4 linked regions of the Caenorhabditis elegans genome follow. The protein of the gene in region 2 interacts with the protein of the main gene of each other region in a pairwise test. Each region holds a gene or a part of one and is shown on either strand. Other genes may lie near its edges.

Region 1 (6,114 bases), on a different chromosome or scaffold from region 2:
TCTGTAAAGGATCTTCCAGTCGCTCAGCACGAAGTTCGTCGAGATGACAAGCGTGATCTCTAAGAAATTGTTTCACCCAATCACAGAGTACAGTAATCAGTGTCGGAAGCATCAGTTGACTGTGTTCTTCACATCTCTCCACAAATTCACATATTTCGTTAAGCTTCCGATGAGTTCGAGTGAGGTGGTCGGCCAGTGTTCGTAGCTAAAATAACTTAAATAATTGATAGAAGAAATATTAAAAATTTACATAAGATTTTTGAATATTCGCATACGGAGATTCCATTGGAAAATAATAATCCGAGTTCACTTCAAGACCACCAGACGTCAATCTGTATAGAGGCATCGACACACGATCAGTGCATATTCTTCGTTGAGTATTTTTCTGAATTATAACGTTTATTTTTGATAAAAATTATTTTAGTTTTTGAACTAACTTTAACAGGTAAATCAATAAAGTCGATGAGATGAACAGCGAGCCGTTGTTGAGTGAGCAAATAACTGTCTGTTCTCAAAATAAAATGATTAATATTCGTTTTTGAAAATCCGAATTTCTTACCCATTTCTTTGATGTTCCATACTCTTTCTGTACTCTTGACATCGTTTTACATTGCTATCATGAAACTTTTTTATTTGATGATTCTTACGAGATGAGTTGAACTTCTAAAAAAAAACAGTTTATAAAAAGTTTTCGTTCATCTTCAATTACCTGTAGAACAGCTGGAAACGGATCTCTAGGTGTCGTGAGACATACTGCAGAATCAGCACGTGAGATGTCTCCGCTTCCTCCTTCGTCACGATCTTCTAGACAAGAATTGTAGAACATTGTCTGAAATTTGTTCTAACTATTTCTATATTTGGTTCCCTACAGTACCTCCTGCGTGCATTGATCGAATTCCACAGAAATTCCAACATCGTCGTCTTCATTCATACCTGAATTATATTTTCCTATTTTCAAATACCACAACACATAAATAGAAATTCTGATGAATATAAATACAGATAATTGAATATCTTCTCAAAAATCAAACGACAAAAATTTATTCGAATTATTATTCGTCTCATAGAAGTATCATAATCAAAACACTAAAACTACTGAAATTGTCTAGAAATAACGAGAAAACAGCTCATCAAAATATCTACATTGAACCGATTACCAATCGTTCGAATTAAAAGCTATAGGACTGAGTGAATAAGGGGAAAAGCACCAAAATTAGTTAAATTCAGACTAGTCATTTTCATGGCGTTGGCGGAGAGTCCGATCGGAGATAAGAAGATGCAAATTGTTCGAGATTTCGGAGAAGAAACACTGCTTTTCCTCTGAAAATTAATTTTATTAATTCTTGACACAGATCTAAGAGGACATACTTGATTGTTCCCAATGTTCGAATTGTTGAATCAACTGCATCAATTTGTGTCTTCTGTACATCCAAATCGTTTTTCATTTCTCTATGGACTCCACCAACAGTTGCTTTCAATCCGTCAAAGACTTGGTCCATTTCTCTGAAAACAACAAATTGAATTGAAAACTATACGGTTTAAAAAATACCTGATAGCTTGTGTTTCACAGTGATGAGTATGAGCTGTTGAAACTTGTTGCATTCGAGCAGCTAAATGTGATCTGAACTGTTCTTTCAAATGTTGTTCCTTGGCTCCCGAATTCCAGCGCATTCGTTCCCATGCATATAGTCCAGCGTAGGCCGCTCCTCCGACAGCAATTACTCTCCAACCAACAGCCTTATACACAATACCACCAACAACTAGCACTCCAAGACTTCCGTTTGCTAAAAATGCGGCTGATGTCAAAACCATTTGAGTCATCATTGCCTGTTCTTCGGAAGCTGCAGAAGCTTCTGCATCTCTCACTGAATTCTTTTCGGATTGTTGTTTTAGTGATAATGGAGTAAGCAAATTGGTGTTGATTGCAGTGACAGGTTGGCCGCTTCGATACGCAATGATGCGACGAATTATTGCGTGTAGACCAAATGTGAATCGGAACTCGAGGTCTTCATGGAAATCACTGAAAAATGTAAGAATGAAACACAAAAAATCCATCGAAACTCACTTGACAAGAGCAGGGACATCGACACAAATGCTAAATTTGAAAGGAGCACGATATCGCCACACTTCTTCAAGCTTATTCTGATAAGGTTCGGCGAGGATTTTTGTCACATATTCTGGAAAAAAAATTTTTTATAACACATCAGTTCCCAGATAAACACTTACGGAACATATCATTCTCCAAATTCCAAATTCTTGACATTAGGCCACCGGTACATCTAGCTTCCAAATCACTGCTCAAACATTTGTCCACAAAGATTGCCAAATCCTCTTTATACTTTGTCATTCCGGAAGAGCTTCCATCGAAAGGTTGTTCAAATCGATCAATTATTGCATCAAGTCGTGCTATTTCTTCAAAGAAATCAGCAGAAACTTTCAGATGAACTTCGGCTCGCAGTTGCTCTGTCTGCTCACGGTAAGCTTTTTCAAATTGAGTGAAGTTTACACGGCATTCATTGAAAGTCCTGGTGGATTCGTTTAGATTATTCTGAAGCTTGCTTCTCTGCTCAGCTGCAGAGGTTAGCACGCTATTCAGATTGAGCCGCATTTTTCCGATCATTTCATGAGCTCTCCTGTTATGAGCTTCGAATTTCGTGTGAATCGCCGATCGAGAGATACAATGCTCAAAATGTCGTTCGAAATTTTGGAATTCCAAGGCTCTTGTGCCATGACCTTCTGCTTGATAGGCTTTTTGTACCAGTCCCCTAGCTTTTAATCGTGATTCCAAAACTTCTCTCGATGAAACAAAGAAGATTCGATCATTGACTTCTCTTTCTGAGCACACTTCAAGCTCATCGACCAAAAACTGACGGAATCTCGTCAAATGCTGCTTTTTTACATCTTCGATGTTTTCTGTTTCTGCTGCACTGGCGTCCCATCGATTATTGAGAATAAATACGTTGGGCTTGCTAAGCTTCTTCGCGACTCGAAGGAAGAAGTTCTTTTCGGCTTGTGTCAATGTTGATTCCGCATTTGATACAAGCACAAATACATCTGCATCTAAACAATGTTTGTCAATCCAGCTATCGAATTCTGGAGAAAGATCGACACCAGGGCTATCAAGTATGACGACGTCGTTTTGAAGAAGTCGGCATTCCCCTGATTCCGATTTCTTTGGATGAAACACTTTCAAAAGAGAATCCTGTCCCATTGCCGGAAGATCTGAATTTTCGTCACTCAGTGCGTGTCCAATTTTTCCAAGCATTTTCATATCAATCTTTTGGGGATTATCATCTAATTGTAGATGGCCAACTTCGCCTTCTGAACCTTCAACCTGGAAATTTCAAAAATTTACAATAAAATATGAAAAAAAAGTGATTCTCACCTGCAGAAAGCAACATGTTGTATGTCCCATTCCCTGGGGCAACACTTTCTCATGAAGCATCGCATTGATAGTTGTACTCTTTCCGTTGCTGGTTCTTCCGAAAAATACAACCTTCATGTTATCTCTTTGAAATGTGTCCATTATAGTTTTGATTGAATCGCCAATTGCTTCGATTTCTTCCCGCTGTTCAGAACTAACAAAGTCGTTCTCTTTAATATCTGGAACTTTTGTGGGTTTATATTTGCGGCGAAGTAAAAAACAGAAAATACCTTTGTAAACACCTTCTAGTTCAGCCACATTGTCTTTCAGTTCTCCATAGACATCCCCAAGAACCTTTTTAGCTTCTCGAAATCGAAGAAGTGGTTCATTATCGGCAGCACGACGCGAATTTTTCACTGAAAAGTTTATTGCATTGTTTTTTGAAAGGTTGAATAAACATACAGCTGTGAAGTCCACGATGATTAGAATCACCACTGGCCGGCAGAGTATGAACTAAGCTTGCTGTGCCAGACATTACCTGAAAACTTAAATATATTTAAAGTCTCATAAATCAGCCGGAAATTCGATTCGAGGATTACGAAATCGCTTAAAAGTCTAGAAAACATTAAATCTTATTTGAAATATCGAAAAGGTTATACAAACATCAAATTATTCATTGGAATAATAAAAAAAAATGAAAAGGAACACTCGAATTATCAGAGAATTTCCATTTCTGTCTCCGTCGCGAGCAAAAAAAGAATGTTCACTGGAGCGCGCTCTCTGTACACAAAAGAATCGATTATCGGGAGACAACGATTTGTGAGAAAAATTAGTTGTCTATCGAACTATTTTTGATTAAGAAAAGTTACTGTGCTTTAAATTGCCGTTTTAAACATTAAAAGATATAAATAAACTTTATGAAAGCAGTTTGTAGAAAATTTGTGAATAATGCTTGCTGCAAATTTTTTAATCAGCAAGCCCCCGTTCTTGAAATTCTGCAGTGTCTCTTCTTAAACTTCTGATTGCTTTTTGGATTTATATATTTAGAAAGCAAAAACAATCGAAACATTTCTATTGATTTAGCGGTATTCTATTAAGTTTGAAGTAAAAAAAAACATAAAAAACATTTATTCACTAAATAATTCACTAAAGTACACCGTACATGCAATGAGACCGGATGCAGGAATGCAGAAAAATCATAATTATAAATAGGAAACAATATTCAGGAACAATCCATATTGTCGTTGAAGGTACATTCGTCATCCGAAAGGCTTAACGGAATTTTTGGGCGATTACTATTTGGCTTGGTCGTCTTGACTACGTTTCCATTTTGAGATGATTGATATGTTGATGAGGGATATGTCTTTCTTGGTTTAAATGATTCCGAGTTTGAGGAAGACGGTTGAAGAGTGATCTCGTCTGCTAGTGGGATCGATGGTCGAGATTTTCTGGGAGCCTGAAAACATATTTTAATTTACAAAATAATAATTTTTTGTTACCTCTACTTTGTTTTCTTTAACAAAACCAGCATTGCGACCAGCATCTTTTTTGGCTAAGTCGTTGATCCAACTTTCCAATTCGCGATGTTTCTTTACACTTTTAACAGCTTCGTTCCTTTTGTATTTTATGTCGTTGCTAGTGTATTTGTTAGAATGAGAATTAGCATGATGTTCTTTCCTAGTAGTTTGTCTTCTATCAGAATTCGAAGACTTCCTTGAACTATTTAGTTGATCCGAATCCGTTTGTTGTTTCTTCCGACCATGAATGGTGTCCATGAATGATTTAACTGTCTCAACGTGCAGATCATGAGTCAGTGCTTTGTTTGAAAGATTCACATCCTCGGTGACGAGTATAATAGCACGATCATTGAGGTTCATTGTAGATGGAATTGACATTACTGAAAATTGTGGTATATTCTCGAATCTTAATTTAAGAAAAAAACTTACTTTCTCTTTTTATTCGCAATGCAGTTCTTAGAATCAAATCATCTACAACAGTTGTGTTTGCACTGAAGCCGTTTATCTGAATCTGTTGCTCTGTGCTCGTCTCGACATGCAAGTACTGATTCTTCTCTTCCAGAAGATCTTTTATACTATTATTTGCACAATTAGCTACAATTCGAGTGTGTCCTGATCCGTTTTTAAGACCATCTAGCTCAGATAATGTAAAATATGGAATGACTGTGAGAATTTGTTCTGAAAATAATAGAAATTTCAATAATAATATCATTCTCTATATTTTACTTTCGATGGAAGCATTGAGAACATCAGGATTTCCCAGAAGAGCACAGGTATCGAATATGGCACACGCACGATAATGCAAATCTTTGAATGGTCGAACTTCAGAAGACCATGGAACACGTGGTAGCATTTTATTGGAATGAGATTCTACCTGCAACTGATTTTTATTTTAAAAGAGCTTAATAATTATATCAACACTAACGCCACTGCAGCTGGGAATGTCTTCTTTTTTCGTTATTCTCTCCGAACTGTCCGATCTTCTTGGCCTCTTCCATGAAAACTCTTCATCATCCAACTTCTCCATAGACTTCCGCTTTGGCGGGGGTACCACATCGACTTCCTAAATTTTAATGAATAAATTAATCTGTTAATTGATAATTAATAGTTACCATTTTATCATCATCCATGGTCCCATGGATATTTTCCTCTACATCTTTCCGTTTTCTCGTTTTCGCTTTAACCGGAGATTTTTCCTCATTTTTTCGGGTGTTTGGATGATCCCATAAACTT
Region 2 (5,452 bases):
ATTGCCAGAAATCAGTGGTCGTGCTTTCTCTTTTCGCGGCCACGTGGAACAAAATGATCGAAAAGCGGAATAGACAGAAATTTGCCATATGGCATTCAAGTTGAATATCAAATTTCACATTTCGAATGATTTTTTTTTAATTTTTAGAATTTCCTGAATTTTCGTTTCAAGCTTGAAATTCGCCATAATTGTGGTTTTTTGAACATATATGCAATTTTCTTGATTTCTGCATCAAAATGACGATACCCGGTCTCGACACGACAAGTTTGTGTGAAATATGGAAATGTGTGCGCCTTAAAAGAGTACTGTAATTTCAAACTATTGTTGCTGCGATATTTTTATCGGTGTTCTTCATTTTGTTTTTCGCGATTCGGTAAAATTAAATTTTTGAATAAATAAATACATTTTTCTTATAAAAAAACGCTACGAAAAATCGATGAAAAGTCCGCAACAACAGAAGTTTCAAACTACAGCACTCTTTAAAGGCGCACATCTTTTTGAATTTAACAAAAATGTTTCGTGTCGAGACCAGGTATCGTATTTTAAGCTCAAAAATCGCAAAATTTCGTGTAAAGAACGTTTGGGGATGAATATGAAAATTTCAAATACAAATTATTGAGAAATCTCGTGTAAAGCTGTGCAATTCGGCTTTCTTTTGAAAACAGGTGGAAAACTTCAATTTTTAGGCCTTTTTAGTCCTTTTTAAGCCGTTTCAAGCTAAACAAGACTGAAAACTCACGAGTATCTTTCTCCCAAAGGGTAACCTCCGCCTGAATTCTCTTCTTATTACAAATAGTTGTACCCTTGACAGTGATAGTCTGCTTCTTTGCCTCAACAAAAGCCAAAGCCAAAAGAACAACAGAGGTGAATAGTAAAGCACGCATTGTTGTTTTTTGAATCGTGCACTAACGTTTTTTGTTTTATATACCGACAAAATTCAAGGGAATCAAAATGGGCGGAGCCTATCTGATGGTGAAACAGCGATAAGGCGGGGGGATCGTTTACACTAAACAAAAACATTTTTGTTTCGAAAAATTCAAGGCCATCGAATTGACCGTCGTCTCGAGACAGAAGAGGCGAGAAAGATGAATCATTATATTAAAAAATGATATTTTCCTACTAAACTTTTTTGGATGACGTGATGGCGAAAATGAAAACCGGATTCTCTTGCGCACGCCTATTATCAAAATTGCAGTTTCGTTCCGAAAAAAGGGTTGAATAAAAGAACCGTTTTTTTTGTTGTTGTAGAGAGAAAACAATTTGAAAAAAATAAATACAAAGTCGCGTACGCGTACAGGAATTTGGGGGGAGTTGGAAGAGGCCACACGAAAAGAGACAGTTAAAGTGAAGATGAATTATTGAGATACAGGGGTACTTTGGAAATGTGGAAGAGAAGCGGGAGGCTAGGCCACGGCGAGAAAAGTTAGGGTTTCAGGGTTTTTGACGAAATGTACAGAACACGGAAAAGTTGATATTACGCGGAAGTAGGGTTTGGCCAAAAAAAAAGGCAATCGGAAAAAATTGCAGTAAAATCGTAAATCGACACAGAGAGCCGTAATTTGTGGCCTAGCTTTCCCACTTCTTCCAGTTCAAAGGATGAGAGAATCAGTGAGCAAAAATGAGATTCAAATGTAAGGAGTTGTACATAAATTAATTATTTACACAAATTGAATACGTTACTTCAAGCTGAACATCATCCGCCCACACACGACGACTCCAACGATTCCAATGGCTCCAGCTGTTACTCCAGCGCCAATCATCGACCACCGTCTGTTCTGCTTCCGGCGTCCCACTTTTTCAGCTTCTGCTCGTTCGTAGTCCTCTTTCATTTGTTTTCCGAGTGTCATGAAGTCGTCCTGCAATTTTTTTCTTGATTTTTTATTTTCACAAATAATGCTTTAGAGCATATTCCGGGGAACACAAAAATCCGTGAATGCGTATTTCACAACATATTTGAGGCGGAAATATCTCGTAGCGAAAACTACAGTAATTCTTTAAATGCCTACTGTAGTCGATTTACGGGCTCGATTTTTGAAATTAATTTCTTTTGATTAGTGGTTATTTTCTTTAATTGTAAAAATTTTAAAAATTTAAAGAATTACTGTAGTTTTCTCTACTGGATATTTTGCGCGTCAAATATGTTGTGAAATACGCATTCTGCGAATTTTGTATTCCCGTAACAATAACATTATCATAAACAGTAATATACTTGAATATGTTTCCAGCTGTCCCCCCAAGAGGCTACCGAACCCTGTAATTATCGGCTTACCAACACCCCGGGAAGTCAAGGGTACTAGGGAAAGGGGGATATTGACTTCTAATGTCTATGCAAATACTCCTTACCCAGCTCCGATTGTGTTCCTTCCAGTTGTTGCGGATCCGCGTTTTGATGAACAGCGATGTGTAAACGAAGAGGTTTCGCACTTGTCCCTGCAGTTCCACGGATTCCATCATTTTTGCAGCTACGAAACCGCCGAACGAGATTAGACCTATCTGAAAATTAGAAATTTGCAATTTAATTCGTTCATTTCTGGCGGAAAATTAAGCTTAAAAAAACGATTTTTCTGGTTTTTAATGTTCGAAAATTGAATTTTTGGGGTTTTTCGTTCAGCAAATCAGCAGAAAAACCTGTTTTTCGAAGAAAAAAGTTCAAAAATCGAATTTTAATGTATTTTCCACAAATTTTACATTTAAAAACCGATTTTTGATAAATCAGCAGATCTTTTTCGCAAATACAAATCAAGGAAAATATGCTTTAAAAATATTCGAATAGAAAATAACGTTTTTAATCGAATTCGTAAAGTTTTCTGCTAATTTATCAACAAAAAAAATTACAATCCGGGATCAAAATTCGTGGTTTTTTAATGGAAAACTTTCAAAAAAGACACATAATTGGGCTATTTTTGACCAAGTTTTGCTGATTTCCTGAAGGAAAACAAACAATTTTTGCAAATGTTTTTTCTGCCACCTTTCTGGCGAATTTTCGAATTTTTGCAAACTTTTTTTCAGTATTTTCTCCCTTACCAAACGTCCATAAGACATTGGACATTGATCTGTCTGTGCATTTCCAACCGTCCGAACCACATCCTGATACAGTGAAAATGAGATTCTGGGCACTGCGAGCAGCTGCTCACAGAAGGTCTCAAAATTTTCCGCGTGCTTCTTCTCGAATATCGTTCCCATAACTCGCATCATTTCGTGCTCCGGTTGCACTCCACACGGCAATCCCGGTGCTCCAAACCATTCCATTCCGTTTTGCCGGATTCGGTGCGTGAAATAGTCGACCTGGAAGCAGCAGGAAATTTTATTTACAAAAAAAAATTAAAAAATTACCACAAATCCCTCGATATCAAGCCTTGGCTCTTCCCAATCATTGATTTTTCCATCAATTGACTCTCCGATGGACATTCTTCGCGTCGAAGCCTGCCTACTCGGTGATGGCAAGTCCTGAGCATCACTATTGATTCCAAAATCGGTGGGCTCTGTGCCTTTTATCCCCAGAAACTCCTTCATCTCGCCAGTCGCCATCGTTCGTCGCCGATACGCCGGATTCGTCAGCGAGTTGTCCGCCGTGCAGCGTGTCATCTAAAATTTTTATTCGTTTTCATAATCATAATATACATTCTAGACAGAGAAAAAAAAACGAAGAGGAGAGGTAAATCTACGGAAAAGAGAGAAAATCGAAGAAATCAACGGTAAAAGTAAATTGACGAGAATTGTCGAGGGCTGGGGCGGAGTAAGAAAAAAGAAGGCGGAGCATCTGTGCCTAGGCAGTCTTGTTGCTCTTGTTCTGGCAAGAGTTGAAGACAATGGCGAGAGCAAGAATAGCCGAAAGTCCAGATACGAGATATCCCGATTTGTAGATCTGAAAATTAATTTTTATTTTAAAACAATTAAATTAATAATTTCAACTCCTACCTGTCCAACATTATTGACTCCCTTAGCCAAATCGAATCCTAAGAAGCGAATTCCGTTAAGAGTATGGAAAATGATGGGGAAAGCAATGATGTACTTGAAGACAGCGGTCACCGCGCATGGTAAGTTCCAGCTACGGATGAAATCCACAAAAGCGGTGAAATCGAACGGCAAAACTGCGAATCCGATTCCTCCGACGAGAAGGGTTCCGGCCATTACACAACCGCTGATTCTATGGAATCCGGAGAGCATCCAGGTCAATTGTGGCTGGTAGACGGTGAGATGTGGAGCGATTGGGCGATTCTTGGAGCGCTGCTTCAACAGGTATTCCCATCCGAACTTCTGGATTGGCGTCTTTGCCTCGGACTGTGAATATTATAAATAATTAATTGAAAAGAATGTGTCTGTTATACATTTCTCCTTCATGCGTACACAAAAAATCAACAATTTTCACGGAAAAATTCAAAAAATCCCCACCTTGGTGACGATCGATGTTCCAAAGGAGCGGGAAATCGACGATCTGGCGCCCAAGCGGCACAGAATCGCAGTTGGAATGTTAATCATCCTGAAACAATGCTGATTTTCTTATCAAAATTGAAAAAAGAAACAGGGCGGTGCGTTTCAAAACAAGTGTTGAATTTTGTTGCGGAAATGCACGCACAGGGCACGAGAAGTGCGCCAGCAGCGCGTCTCGTTTGAAGAGATGCGTCAGCAAACGACCCGGGCGCACTTTTCGACTTGTTTTTTGTTCTTTTTTTGTTTTTTTTGTTGCATTTTCTGTGATTTTCTTTGAATAATTATTTTTTCCATTGCAAATTTCAAGATGAAATCTAAAATTCCTCGAATTTCTGATCCATCGACTCCATGGCTAGAGATTTTAGTAAAATTCGGCTTCAAAAATGAGCCTTTTATCCTTGGCGAGTGGAGCACTTCTGGCTGGACAGCCGTTAAAGATTGGGTGCTTCCAAATGGACAGCCAAATAAGGAATATTTGAAAAAGTCCTATGGTTTGTCTGGATAGTTTTTTGTTATGAAAATCCCGTTTCGCTCCAGGAGATTCGAAAGTTCCTATTCTTTGCGGAGGAAATCAGTACAAAACCACTACTTTGAAGGAATTTCTGGAAGAAATGGGCGATCCAGAAGTTTACTTAAAGGATTGGCATTTTCAAAACGAGTAGGAGTTGAATTTCAATTCGAAATTGATTTTTTTAAATTAAAATATTTAGATTCGGAACCTCTTCATACTCCTTGCATCCTTTCTTTTCTCGAGATTTTGTAAATTGTGAGCCATGGACTAGTGAGAAATCGGAAAATCCATTTGGTGACGACTATCGATTCGTTTATATCGGAGCTTCTGGATCCTGGTAGCCTTGGAATTTTCTTAAAAATTAGAAATCCCCTCAAACTTTCTAGGACAAAACTTCATTCCGACGTAGTTTCATCGCATAGCTGGTCAGCGAATATTTGCGGCAGAAAACAGTGGTTTATGATGCCCCCAGGCAGTGAAAATCTGTTTCGGAGCAGCGTTACAGAGTCG
Region 3 (5,255 bases), on a different chromosome or scaffold from region 2:
ACTCTTCAAAAAGTTCTTTAAATCATTTTTTTAAAGTGAACTCAAAGAAGGTATGACTGTCACTGATGCCGATGGAAACAACGTTGGAGTTTCCCGGTTAGCCGCAGCTAAAGCCATCTCCCTGGTGGTTCTCTCCAGAAATATTATCGTTGCCCCATGCATGAGTGAGTTTAGCCGTTACTCTTTTCCTGTCATGCTTCATGCCTCATTTTAGTCCTCACTCCTGTCATCATGGAAGGCTTGAACAAAGTGGCCTCATTCCGGAAGCATATCAACAAACTCAACATTCCAACTCAATTGGCTTTAACTTTTGTGATGTGAGAGAGCAGTCATATTTCTAGACAACAAATGTGAATTTTAGTTATGGTGCAATGATTCCTGTCGGATGCGCTCTCTTCCCTCAGCAAAACTCTGTGAAGCTTTCAACATTGAAAAGATGGGAGCCCGAAGCCTTTGAAAAACTGAAAAATATCAAGGGAGATCGAGTGTACTTCAACAAAGGATTATAAGCGATTTATGAGCTTTTAGTTAACTAAACATAGATTTCAGCTTAATTTATTTCCGTGCAAATTGGTATTTAGAATGATTCGTTGTAGACATTTCTTGAATTGTGCAATTAATAACATCTGTGCAATTGTCTACTTATCAGTTTTTAAAAATTCCAGCATAATAAATTTAATCATAACTAAACAAAAATATATTTACATTTTATTAAAATGCGTGGTTTTGTAACAGTATTTTAGAAATATTTACAATTTGTGATGACAGAAAAACATGGAAAAGCAAGTTTCAGAATCAAAATGCCCAGGTAACAGCAAAGAAAAAGTCGTAATTACATTCAGTGTATAAAGCTATATTATGTACATAATTAATTTAAAATTACCTAATCGTGAGAGCAAATCGCGATTAGATGTGTTGAATTCAAAACTGTAGTAGGAATGTTTTGAGTATTAGGAATATTCAGGAGACAGTTTGAAAGATGACAATTTGGAGAGAAGGGAAACATGGCAAAATTATTGTTTATTCGAATCTTTTTGACAAGATGCAAGAAGACTCCGGAAGAATTTTGCAGAGAATGTAGTATTGTGAATCAAAGGGTAAAAATGCCCAATCTCCAGCACTGCTGGAATGTATGTACAGTGAAATGAGGTAAGTGGAACGTTAAAATTTTTGTTTGGAATTATTGACGATGATGTTTGATTAGTTTCCGGCAAACAGCAAATCTGAAGACAATCAGTTTTTCTGGAAGAAATTTCCTGAAAAAAATACTTACCCTACTGCTGCTCCAACGACAAAGCTGAAGATGTTGGTGACTAAGAAACCAAAGACTACGCGAACGTTGAAAAGCGAATCAGATTCGCATGGCAAGTATTGGTAGAGCTCTGGCTCGGGAGAGTTTGGCGGAGTGGTAAGGTTGGAGCCATATTGAACCATACGGACAGTCCTGCAAATTTTGTTTTTTTTTTCAACACAGAATAAAATCGGTATGGTTTGAGCAGGGGTGTCGACTAGCAATTCTACAAATTGAACCTTGCAACATGTTCTTCCAATATTTTCAGTAACATTTAGGTATGGAATATAAAAGTATTTTCAAAAAATCTCTTTTAGAAAATTTTCAATTAGCAAACATATTTTAGTTTAGATTGAAAGTTGAAAATTACTGAAAATAGTCCGACAAACTATGTAACTTTTCTCTAGCAGTTTTAATCTTTCAACAATGTATCTGCGTTTTTTAGAATTATTTTGAGAACATGCCATGCTGGCTTATTTTGTAGAACTGCTGGTTAGCAAATGCAGCGCATCCCTGGTTCTAAATTAATTTTGAAGTCTAAATAACTAAGCTTCTTTCAACCCATTAGTAGCTATAAAACTTACTTTGGAGGTGTATTTTCTGGCCGACTGCTCCAATCCCAAATCCAATCAGTATTCTTTCCGGGAGGAAGCATTTCTCTAACCAACTTGTACTTTACTTGTTCTAAGCTCTCGAATTCCACGTGAGGAGATTGTGCGATTGAGACTGGGCTCAGCCTCGAATCCTTATCTTTTTCATCAATGATCACCATATTAATATCGACGCTACTGCACAAACTGGTACGGCTTGGTGCCAGTTCCACCCACGATTCTGACATACCTGAAGCGTTCAAGAACATGGGAAATTTAAGTTGGAGTTAGTGAAAAGTGAATAGGTGTTAAATTTGTAAACTTGCAAAGATGTGTGTACTTTCAAAAAATCAAAAGCCCAATCGGTCACATGAGAATTCATCTAACGATTTGCCTAGGGCAAAAGTGTAATGAAAAAAAAGTAAAACAAACCAGGTGTACTCTCGGTCAATGGGGTGATAAATGGGTTTGAGACGGCTTTTGCGGATGGTGTTGTCTGTTGAGCCGATGACTGCTCCGTCTGCTGTTGCGGTTGCACAGACTCATCCGTCTTCTCGCCGGACGCAAAGTTGATCTTTCTTTTGATATCGAGCATTTTGGGTTTTGCAAACTCAAGAAATGAGGACATTGTTAGGAAAGACCCGTCTCTGAAACATTACTATTATACTATTATTACCAATTGTGTTTACAAATATGAGAAGAAATCGAAACTTGTAAAATTGTAAATTAAGAAATAGCGAAGTAGTTACGGGTTAACAATAAATACGAGTTGTTATAGCAACCCAACGATGCAGGTGTTGCTAGGTCCTTCATATCTACTCTACAAAATCAACAAACAAATTCAGAGTCTACACAAGCAGATGGCGTAGTTTATTTATAAACGTTTTCTCCAATAAAACAGAATTGGGGGCAAAAGTGAAGGAGGTCCGTTAGACAAAAAATTTCATAATACCTTTTCTACAGAGCAAATACCCGGAAAAAAAACTGGAGAGACGAATGAAAATATTTTGCTTTTCACAAAGTCGTTAAATTTTACTTTATTTTGAAACCTCATTCCGTCAGCCAGTCAGTTATTTATTTATTTGCTTATTTACATTTGTGCTATCTGAGACGCTCTGTGTGGTGTACTGCGAATGTTTGAGACGCGATTGTTTTGTTTTTCGTGGTGGGTGGACGACAAGAAAGATGAGATGACCGGATTGAATCGATTTAATATGAGAACAGAATAGTTGTGAATTAAAAAGAGCAAAAGCCAGAAATGTATTATATTTGTGAGCAAATATATATTCAACTGCCAAATAGGAAAAGGTTTATTTGATGGATTGGAACTAATAAACATTTGTCGTATTCGGCTTTTATTATTTGATAACCCTTGAGTATTTTTCAAATAAAGCATAGGTTCATAGCTCTCTTTAAAGAATTTATGAGAATGTTTTTTAAAAAATATTGCAACCCATCTTTTTTTCTCAAGAAATTCACAAAAATTGGTTCTCTCTTCTAATTTTAGAACTAAATGGAAAAGAGTGTAGCTAATTAGATAGTCAGAAAACGAGATGCCTGCTCACGCGTGTTTTTTACTCATTTTCACTACTTTTACTCACAAACTTGCTTTCAGCGTGATCAACTGTGGTTTTGAGACGGGTGTTTTTCGCAACACGTGATGCGACATAAAAATTTGAAATTAAGAAAGGCAATTAAAATAACATTACTGTGGAGAAATGAGAAGAGTAAAAGAAACAGGGCAAATTTATGAAATATATTTAAGAAAAAAATCAACGTTATTGATGTCAGGTGGCTGATTTTTGAGATAAAAGAGTCGTGGAAAATATGTACTATTCCGAAATCAGATTCTGAAAAGTTTGAACCAACTGAAAAAAGGGGGAAATGAAGGTTCTCAATCCTAGTAAAAGCCAATAAACTTGCGGCGAATTTCAGGAAATCAGAAATTCGAGGAAAATGGTAGAATTGGCACCCAGCCAGGCATATTATTATGTCGCGTGATACACCAACAAACACAGACGCTCTCTGTCTCACTTTTCGCTCGCATTTTCGCTTTTCCGAAGTACATGTGACCGTATTGCCAACAAACCAGATATTGTTTCTAAAAAAGAAATGGAAAATGTAGATGAGAAAATAATTATTGAAAAACTAGGTAGAAGAACAAAACTGATGCATACAAACTAATATGAAATAACTTAAGAAACTTCTTTCCACAAACTTGTCTTACTAATTAAATAAGAATCTGATCAGATTGTGAACTTCTTAAATGTCATGTTGGCCAGAATTTTGCACGGAAATGTGATTGAATCGAAAACCGAGTTGACAGGCGGGCACCCATCATGAAAAATCAAAAAGTTCACATGATACACCTCACCACTTTTCGAAAGTCGAACTTGCAAGTGACACCGGTCACAACAATTAAGACAAATAAAACGAATAGCAAATTACTAAAGAAGATTTGGGTCGCAATTATCTACTATCTACTCTATCCGCCAATATAACAGGGTTGAACAGGCGAATGTGATGCAATCATATGATGTTCACATGTGGATCGTACTTGTTGCACGTAGACCAACATGTTTTTCAAGAAACACAGGTGTAGATTGATTGAACTGAAATAAGATTATGCGTGGTACAGAAGATGCAGACAGTTTGACATAAAAATGGTTCTATGGGTAGAAAAATAGATAAGGAGGTGTTTGATTGATGTTTGTTTTATGAATGATAAACAAACTTTGTTCTGAGGATTGGAATTGAGCTTTTGCGGATAGACAAAAAACAAACGATAATGCATACCACCTTTATTAGTTTTTCAAATAGTACTTCTTATTGCGAAAATTTTGAGACTGAGGTGGGTTTTTTTTTGAAAAAGCTGAAAAAATATTCGAAATCGACAAGAAAGTTAGAATGGCCAAACCAAAAAAAACTGGCTTCACTTCTTAATTATTCTTCTCAAGATACACAAGAAATTTTTTTGCGAGAATCAGGCATAGGAAAACAGAAAAGTCACAGGGGGGGCTCTTTCTCTTTTCCCGGCTGTTAGTCATATGACCACCACGTATTTACCAAAAGGAGGCCGAGGAGGGGAACGCCGTGAATAGAGAACGAGATACGGAGAACACGAATCGATGGGTGGATAAAAGAGAAGGGGTGGAAGAAGTGGTAAAAGGGTGGTGGTTCACCAACAAGCACGTCAAGACAGGCAGCAGCCAGGAATACGTGGTAAATCATGTGAGACCGCATGCAAAAAGTGCACATGACCAGTCGCACGCAGGCGGAAAAGTTCATAAAGAGCACGCGCAATGAAGAGACGCAGCGGGGGAGACGATCAGCTGATGTTTAGAATTGGATGCGTATGTAGCCGTGGAATGGAC
Region 4 (5,649 bases), on a different chromosome or scaffold from region 2:
CTACTGATGCCCGTCGTCACAAATGGCGAGTACAGTATGCAATCGGAGCAGGAGATTCTCAATGCGTTGCTCAAAAATTATGACATGCGGGTACGGCCACCACCGGCCAACTCATCAACGGAAGGTGCTGTCAATGTTCGTGTTAATATTATGATTCGGATGCTATCGAAAATTGATGTAGTTAATATGGTAAGTTGGATTCGGAATAAAAATGTTAATTTAAATAAAAATAACATTAAAAAATTTCCTAAAAAATCACAGTACCAAAAAAATACCAAAAAAAATTATTTCTCACAGGTGTTTATAATTTTTTTTGGCAGTTCAATTTCCATTTTAAAAAAGCACCAAAATTTGAAATTTGTTCTGGAGCAGAAAAAATTGCTAATATCAATAATAATCATAGGAGACAAAAAATCGAATTCCAGTTCATACAAAAATCCTTTCTTCACTCCTAAGTTTCAGGAATATTCAATTCAACTAACATTCCGCGAGCAATGGATAGATCCTCGACTGGCCTATGAAAATTTGGGTTTCTACAATCCTCCGGCATTTCTCACAGTCCCACATGTTAAAAAGAGTCTATGGATTCCTGACACATTCTTTCCCGTTAGTTTGATATTCACTTTAAAGTTAAAATTGGAATTTTCAGACCGAAAAAGCAGCTCATAGACATTTGATTGATATGGAAAACATGTTCTTGAGGATATATCCGGATGGAAAAGTGAGTTTTTGAAAACTTTAAGTTGAAGAAATTTTATCTGGAAATGAAGGAAATGTTGAAAAATGCCTATTGTTTTTGTAGCATAGAAAACTGCCAGTATTCCCAATTTTGGAAGAAGTTTCTTGATCAAATGACATGTCTAATGAAACGCACATCTGGACAAGATTTTGAAAATTAAACGGAAAAATTCCGCATTCAAAAAATCAAAGTAAAAAAATTTTAGAGCCAAAATCTGCGGTGGATTTTTATCTTGATAGATCTGACTTCCAAAATTTTATAAAACAGGTTCTAATTTACTAATTTTTCCTTAATTTTCAGATCCTCTACAGTTCCCGGATAAGTTTGACAAGTTCCTGCCCAATGCGTCTCCAACTCTACCCACTCGACTATCAATCGTGTAACTTTGATCTTGTCAGCTACGCGCACACAATGAATGATATCATGTACGAGTGGGATCCATCAACACCAGTTCAACTGAAACCCGGCGTTGGCTCGGATCTTCCCAATTTTATACTCAAAAACTACACAACAAATGCAGATTGCACAAGCCACACGAACACAGGTAGACAAATTTTTTGCAACTTCTTGAGGCGATTGGGGGAGAGAAGAGATATGAGCTTTTGTCAACAGATTTTGCACTTTTTGAGAGGATTTTATAGCTGTTGTGACGTGGGAAAATGAAGGGAAAAAAGTTGAACAAATGATTTCACGGAAAGAAGTGTATTTTGGGGGTTTGAGCAGAAAAGCCCGTTGGGAAGTTTGGCAAATTTTGTTGCAAATAAATTGGGAAAACATTAATAATCAGAAATCAAGTTCCGATAGAAAATAGGGGGTTTAAAAAATTGTTGCTAAATTTAGTTGTGGGGTTTTCCAAAAAGATGAGAAGAACCTATATAAAGAACTAAATCCAGATTTCTTACAGGATCATATGGATGTCTCCGAATGCAACTTTTGTTCAAACGGCAATTCAGTTATTACTTGGTACAACTGTATGCTCCAACCACTATGATTGTGATTGTCTCATGGGTTTCATTTTGGATTGATCTTCATTCAACTGCTGGACGTGTCGCTTTAGGAGTCACTACGCTTCTTACAATGACTACAATGGTAAGGGACTGAAAAATAATTTGTGCACTTCAACAAAGAACTTTCAGCAATCTGCAATCAACGCCAAGCTTCCACCAGTTAGCTACGTAAAAGTTGTGGATGTCTGGCTTGGAGGTGAGTAACTCCTTTAATATATCTAACAATCAAAGAAACTTCCAGCGTGCCAAACATTTGTATTCGGAGCACTTCTGGAATACGCATTTGTCAGTTATCAAGATAGTGTCCGGCAAAATGACAGGTCAAGAGAGAAAGCTGCAAGGAAGGCGCAGAGAAGGAGAGAAAAGTTGGAAATGGTGGATGCAGAAGTCTATCAGCCACCGTGCACCTGTCATACTGTAGGTTAAGCCTTGAATTTTAACAATCATCAAAAAGTTTTGGTCCTGGAATTCGCCAATGTTATTGAAAAATTCAACAAAAAAACTTTTTGTATAAATTCACTGGGTGACAAATAAAAAGATTCAACTTTTTGAAACGATCTCAAATATTGAAAGAATTCAAAATGCAAACAGCTTCCAAAAAGCTTCCAGCATGATACCACTAAAAACACAAAACGTCGACTTTTTTCCATTTAAAAGTTATTGTATGTAGCTATTTTTTTAAGTGTAGTAACCTATGTAAAAGTCGCTATTCCGGAATAATCTTGCAAAAAATACTCATAAATATGTTAGAAAAATATGCGAAAAAAAGTCAATTTTTCAGTTCGAAGCCCGCGAGACATTCCGTGACAAAGTCCGCCGTTACTTCACAAAACCAGATTATCTACCGGCAAAAATTGATTTCTATGCCAGATTTGTCGTCCCACTTGCCTTTCTCGCTTTCAATGTTATCTACTGGGTATCATGTCTTATCATGTCTGCCAATGCTTCCACTCCAGAGTCTCTCGTTTAGATTTTCCCCTGTTTTTTTTTCAAATCCCCACTGTTCCCACATTTGCTATCAATTTGCAAACATCATACTTGATACCGGTATATGTAAATGAAATTTGAAATTTAAAATTTAAATAAAAAATAAAAAATAAAACTCACTTGCAAACAGTCGATATACAATCCCTACACCACCATAATTCAACAATATGGTCCGAAGAATTTGACGAAGAAGGCTTGGAAATTGATGACTGATTTAAATCGATTTGTTTGCCACAATCGTCACAATCTACTATCATCTTTGCATATCTGGAAGACAAGATTTGATTAAAGTGTGAATGAGAAAACATATAAAAAATTGGAAAAAAGTGCGTAAATAGTATGAGTTGAATGAATCGAAGAAGTATGAAAGGTAAACATAAAATCGAGTATTGTCAACATTTTAAAATTTTTGACCCGTTTTAAATGTCAAAACTGTAAAATTTACAAATATAAGAAAATTTAAAATAAAGTTTCAGACTTTTTGAAATTTATTAAGTTTGGCAATTTTTCGGGAGAACCGAGAGAATCATAAAATGAAAAATTGAAAGACCTAACTTTTTGGATCTTAAAAAAAAATGGTTCTACAGTTGTAAATCTCTGTGGAAATTAAAAAAAAAGTTTACACCCCCCTATAGAAAAAAAGTTAACTAATATTTTTGAAAAATCTAATAATTGCCAATGTTTAGTAATGAAGTGCCAGTTTAAAAATACGGTAGGTACAAATTAGTAAATCTCTCGGACAATCGCCACATGTTTCAAATTTAAACATTTTAAGGAATGCTGAGCTTTCCTGCAAGTCTAAACGCCTTGAATATAAAAACAAATTTCGGATAGGAAACTTTCCATTAAAGAATGCTTACATAGAATAATACACAGGTTAGAAGAACCTAATGAATATTTTGAGTAACTTCTAACTTGTAGTTTAAAAATCCCTAATTGAGAAATTTTTCTGATAAGATAATCTAATTAGGAGAAACTAACTATTACTTCAGTTGGTTCAGAAACTTAAGTTTCGCAACCTCCAAAGTAAAATTCCAAAAATCAAAGAAAGTGATAAACAACATAATATATGGATTTCGTAATGGTATTTGCAAATATTACAACTTTTTTTAGAGAATCTTTAAAGAGAATCTCCTGGAGTGACGCAATTTTTTTGTTTGAAAACTCAGTAATTTTCGGAAACTTGAAAAGTATCTTTAACATTAAAATTTTCTATTGTAGGAAAGCTGGTCTCGCCACGATAAGTCTAATTTATTTTGGCTAAAGTTATTGTCTGTAAATATTAAAAGACCTTCTAAAAACTGGGTTTTAACAAAGTTGAAAAAGTTTCCAATGGATAAACCTGTAACATTGTTTTTGAAAATGTGAAGGGAAAACTTTTTCCGTCAATTTTCAGCTATGAAACATTGGAAAAGAAATAAAATTCCAGAAAAAAAACAAAGAAAACGACACCAAAATAAAATAGAAACACACAAAAAACAGTGGTGAGTGACACAAAAATGGGGGAGAAAGAGAAAAAATAGGAAAAAAGAAAGGAAAATTGGTGGCGGTGGCGGAGGAACTGGTTACAAAAACCGAAACAAATTATTCAAATACAACGATGATCATCATCGTTAAATGGAAATAAAACAGATAAAAATTGGAAAATTGCGTTGTAATCCAGCATTAGCCGAAAATATTTTACGGGTGATAAGAGAGATTTTCGAGAGGGAGGGAGAGGAAATAAAGGAGGGCCGTAATTTTTTGAGAATTTTAAAGTTGGTATTCAATGTTTTCATTAATGCAAAATAGGAAGAATCGTAAATTACAAGAAATATCCATGCAAATTTTTCTGCAAAAGCTGACACTAATCTCCCATCACTTTCAAAAATTCCTACAACAATTTTTTAACACCAAAAACGCGAAATAGGAAGAAAAAAAATGGGGGAAGCTTTCAATAGAATCAACTTTTTCAATTTCAAATATTGGCGAGAGCAGTGTCGAAAAAAAAGAGTAGAGAAAAGTGGTTTAGAACATTCAAAGACACTCCTCCCATCCTGTTACACTTTCTTTTTTGAATTGAATAAGAAAATAACGGAGAAGAAAATAAATAAAATATGTGTATATACATAGAAAGAACTATTAGGTAACAACCGAAAGGAGGGATGAACTATATTAGAAGGTATGTGGAAGTGATCCGATGAAGAGATAATGAAGTGGTATGAGGTCATTAGGTAACTGAATTAATATAATTGACAGTTCATTTACAGGATTTCCTTTAATTGAAAATTTGCCAAAAGCTATATGCCTGCCTGCCTCCTGCCTTTTTTCTGTATTTTGGCATATAATTTTTGGGTGTTGCAGATTTAAACATTTCATATTTTTTCAGAGAAAACTTTGAAAATAAATTTAGCATTCATTCATTTTCAAGAACCGTTAAATTGCATTCATTGGGAAATAATTATTTTTTGAAACAAACTTTTTGAAAAATTGTTATATTAAATTTTTTTGAAGTGATCCGGTTATTGAAACGGATAATTAAAAAAAAAGATAATTATTGGAAAATTTTTTATTCCTTTGAAATCAAAACTTTTAAGTACATATGTTCAAACATTTTGAAACGTTTTTTTTTGGATTTTTTTTCGAAATAAAGTTTAAAATTATTTTGATACAAAATTTCACAAATTTCCACCTCCAGAAATTGCAGCAGATTAATTTATAAATATTCAAGTTAAAACGTTTTCCAGGTGAAAATAAAATTCGTTAAGAAATTTCATTAAAACGTGCAATGAGTAAGTAAGGTTTATTTTTGTGCTGACATAAATTTGAAATGAAATTCTAAATCCATCTCATGGAAGTAATAGGGGATTCTGTGTAGGCAACAAATTCGCCTACCTCGTGCCTTCAGGCATCACCATCAAGGTACACGAAAACGTT

Evidence for each region.
Region 1: the proteins of ced-9 (region 2) and fzo-1 interact in a two-hybrid assay, tested with the Caenorhabditis elegans proteins (one study listed by BioGRID).
Region 3: the proteins of ced-9 (region 2) and dct-1 interact in a two-hybrid assay, tested with the Caenorhabditis elegans proteins (one study listed by BioGRID).
Region 4: the proteins of ced-9 (region 2) and F25F8.1 interact in a two-hybrid assay, tested with the Caenorhabditis elegans proteins (one study listed by BioGRID).

Annotation. Positions count from the first base shown.
Region 1 is NC_003280.10:5,832,302-5,838,415, forward strand, and holds fzo-1 (Transmembrane GTPase fzo-1), read right to left. Parts: upstream 3,903-6,114; 5' UTR 3,900-3,902; coding exon 3,827-3,899; intron 3,781-3,826; coding exon 3,655-3,780; intron 3,604-3,654; coding exon 3,386-3,603; intron 3,335-3,385; coding exon 2,227-3,334; intron 2,178-2,226; coding exon 2,066-2,177; intron 2,021-2,065; coding exon 1,550-2,020; intron 1,504-1,549; coding exon 1,369-1,503; intron 1,321-1,368; coding exon 1,239-1,320; 3' UTR 1,027-1,238; downstream 1-1,026. Other genes in the region: gtap-1 (Dynein heavy chain 7, axonemal), read right to left, coding at 1-205, 251-385, 438-510, 560-663, 710-829, 875-931; ZK1248.15 (WW domain-containing protein), read right to left, coding at 4,587-4,820, 4,864-5,261, 5,311-5,559, 5,608-5,755, 5,807-5,944, 5,994-6,114. UniProt on the Caenorhabditis elegans protein: Probable transmembrane GTPase. Mediates mitochondrial fusion. Fusion of mitochondria occurs in many cell types and constitutes an important step in mitochondria morphology, which is balanced between fusion and fission.
Region 2 is NC_003281.10:10,333,305-10,338,756, reverse strand, and holds ced-9 (Apoptosis regulator ced-9), read right to left. Parts: upstream 3,586-5,452; coding exon 3,334-3,585; intron 3,286-3,333; coding exon 3,025-3,285; intron 2,494-3,024; coding exon 2,344-2,493; intron 1,857-2,343; coding exon 1,677-1,856; 3' UTR 1,235-1,676; downstream 1-1,234. Other genes in the region: ttr-15 (Transthyretin-like protein 15), read right to left, coding at 740-884; mev-1 (Succinate dehydrogenase cytochrome b560 subunit, mitochondrial), read right to left, coding at 3,767-3,865, 3,919-4,281, 4,393-4,479; jmjd-4 (Jumonji domain-containing protein 4), read left to right, coding at 4,739-4,922, 4,969-5,089, 5,142-5,279, 5,329-5,452. UniProt on the Caenorhabditis elegans protein: Plays a major role in programmed cell death (PCD, apoptosis). egl-1 binds to and directly inhibits the activity of ced-9, releasing the cell death activator ced-4 from a ced-9/ced-4 containing protein complex and allowing ced-4 to activate the cell-killing caspase ced-3.
Region 3 is NC_003284.9:7,951,629-7,956,883, reverse strand, and holds dct-1 (NIP3 homolog), read right to left. Parts: upstream 2,529-5,255; 5' UTR 2,510-2,528; coding exon 2,314-2,509; intron 2,132-2,313; coding exon 1,876-2,131; intron 1,445-1,875; coding exon 1,274-1,444; intron 1,224-1,273; coding exon 1,181-1,223; 3' UTR 698-1,180; downstream 1-697. Other genes in the region: sfxn-2 (Sidoreflexin), read left to right, coding at 37-164, 215-317, 362-509. UniProt on the Caenorhabditis elegans protein: Initiates apoptosis in a BH3-independent mechanism possibly by recruiting ced-3 to mitochondria and other cytoplasmic membranes. Has a role in lifespan and tumor growth. Required for the induction of mitophagy under stress conditions.
Region 4 is NC_003279.8:4,882,254-4,887,902, reverse strand, and holds the start of F25F8.1 (B box-type domain-containing protein), read right to left. Parts: upstream 3,001-5,649; 5' UTR 2,991-3,000; coding exon 2,854-2,990; exon of another isoform or gene 2,717-2,853; coding exon of another isoform or gene 2,528-2,716; intron 2,164-2,527; coding exon of another isoform or gene 1,988-2,163; intron 1,943-1,987; coding exon of another isoform or gene 1,876-1,942; intron 1,829-1,875; coding exon of another isoform or gene 1,644-1,828; intron 1,284-1,643; coding exon of another isoform or gene 1,040-1,283; intron 722-1,039; coding exon of another isoform or gene 650-721; intron 607-649; coding exon of another isoform or gene 463-606; intron 190-462; coding exon of another isoform or gene 1-189. Other genes in the region: glc-2 (Glutamate-gated chloride channel subunit beta), read left to right, coding at 1-189, 463-606, 650-721, 1,040-1,283, 1,644-1,828, 1,876-1,942, 1,988-2,163, 2,528-2,716.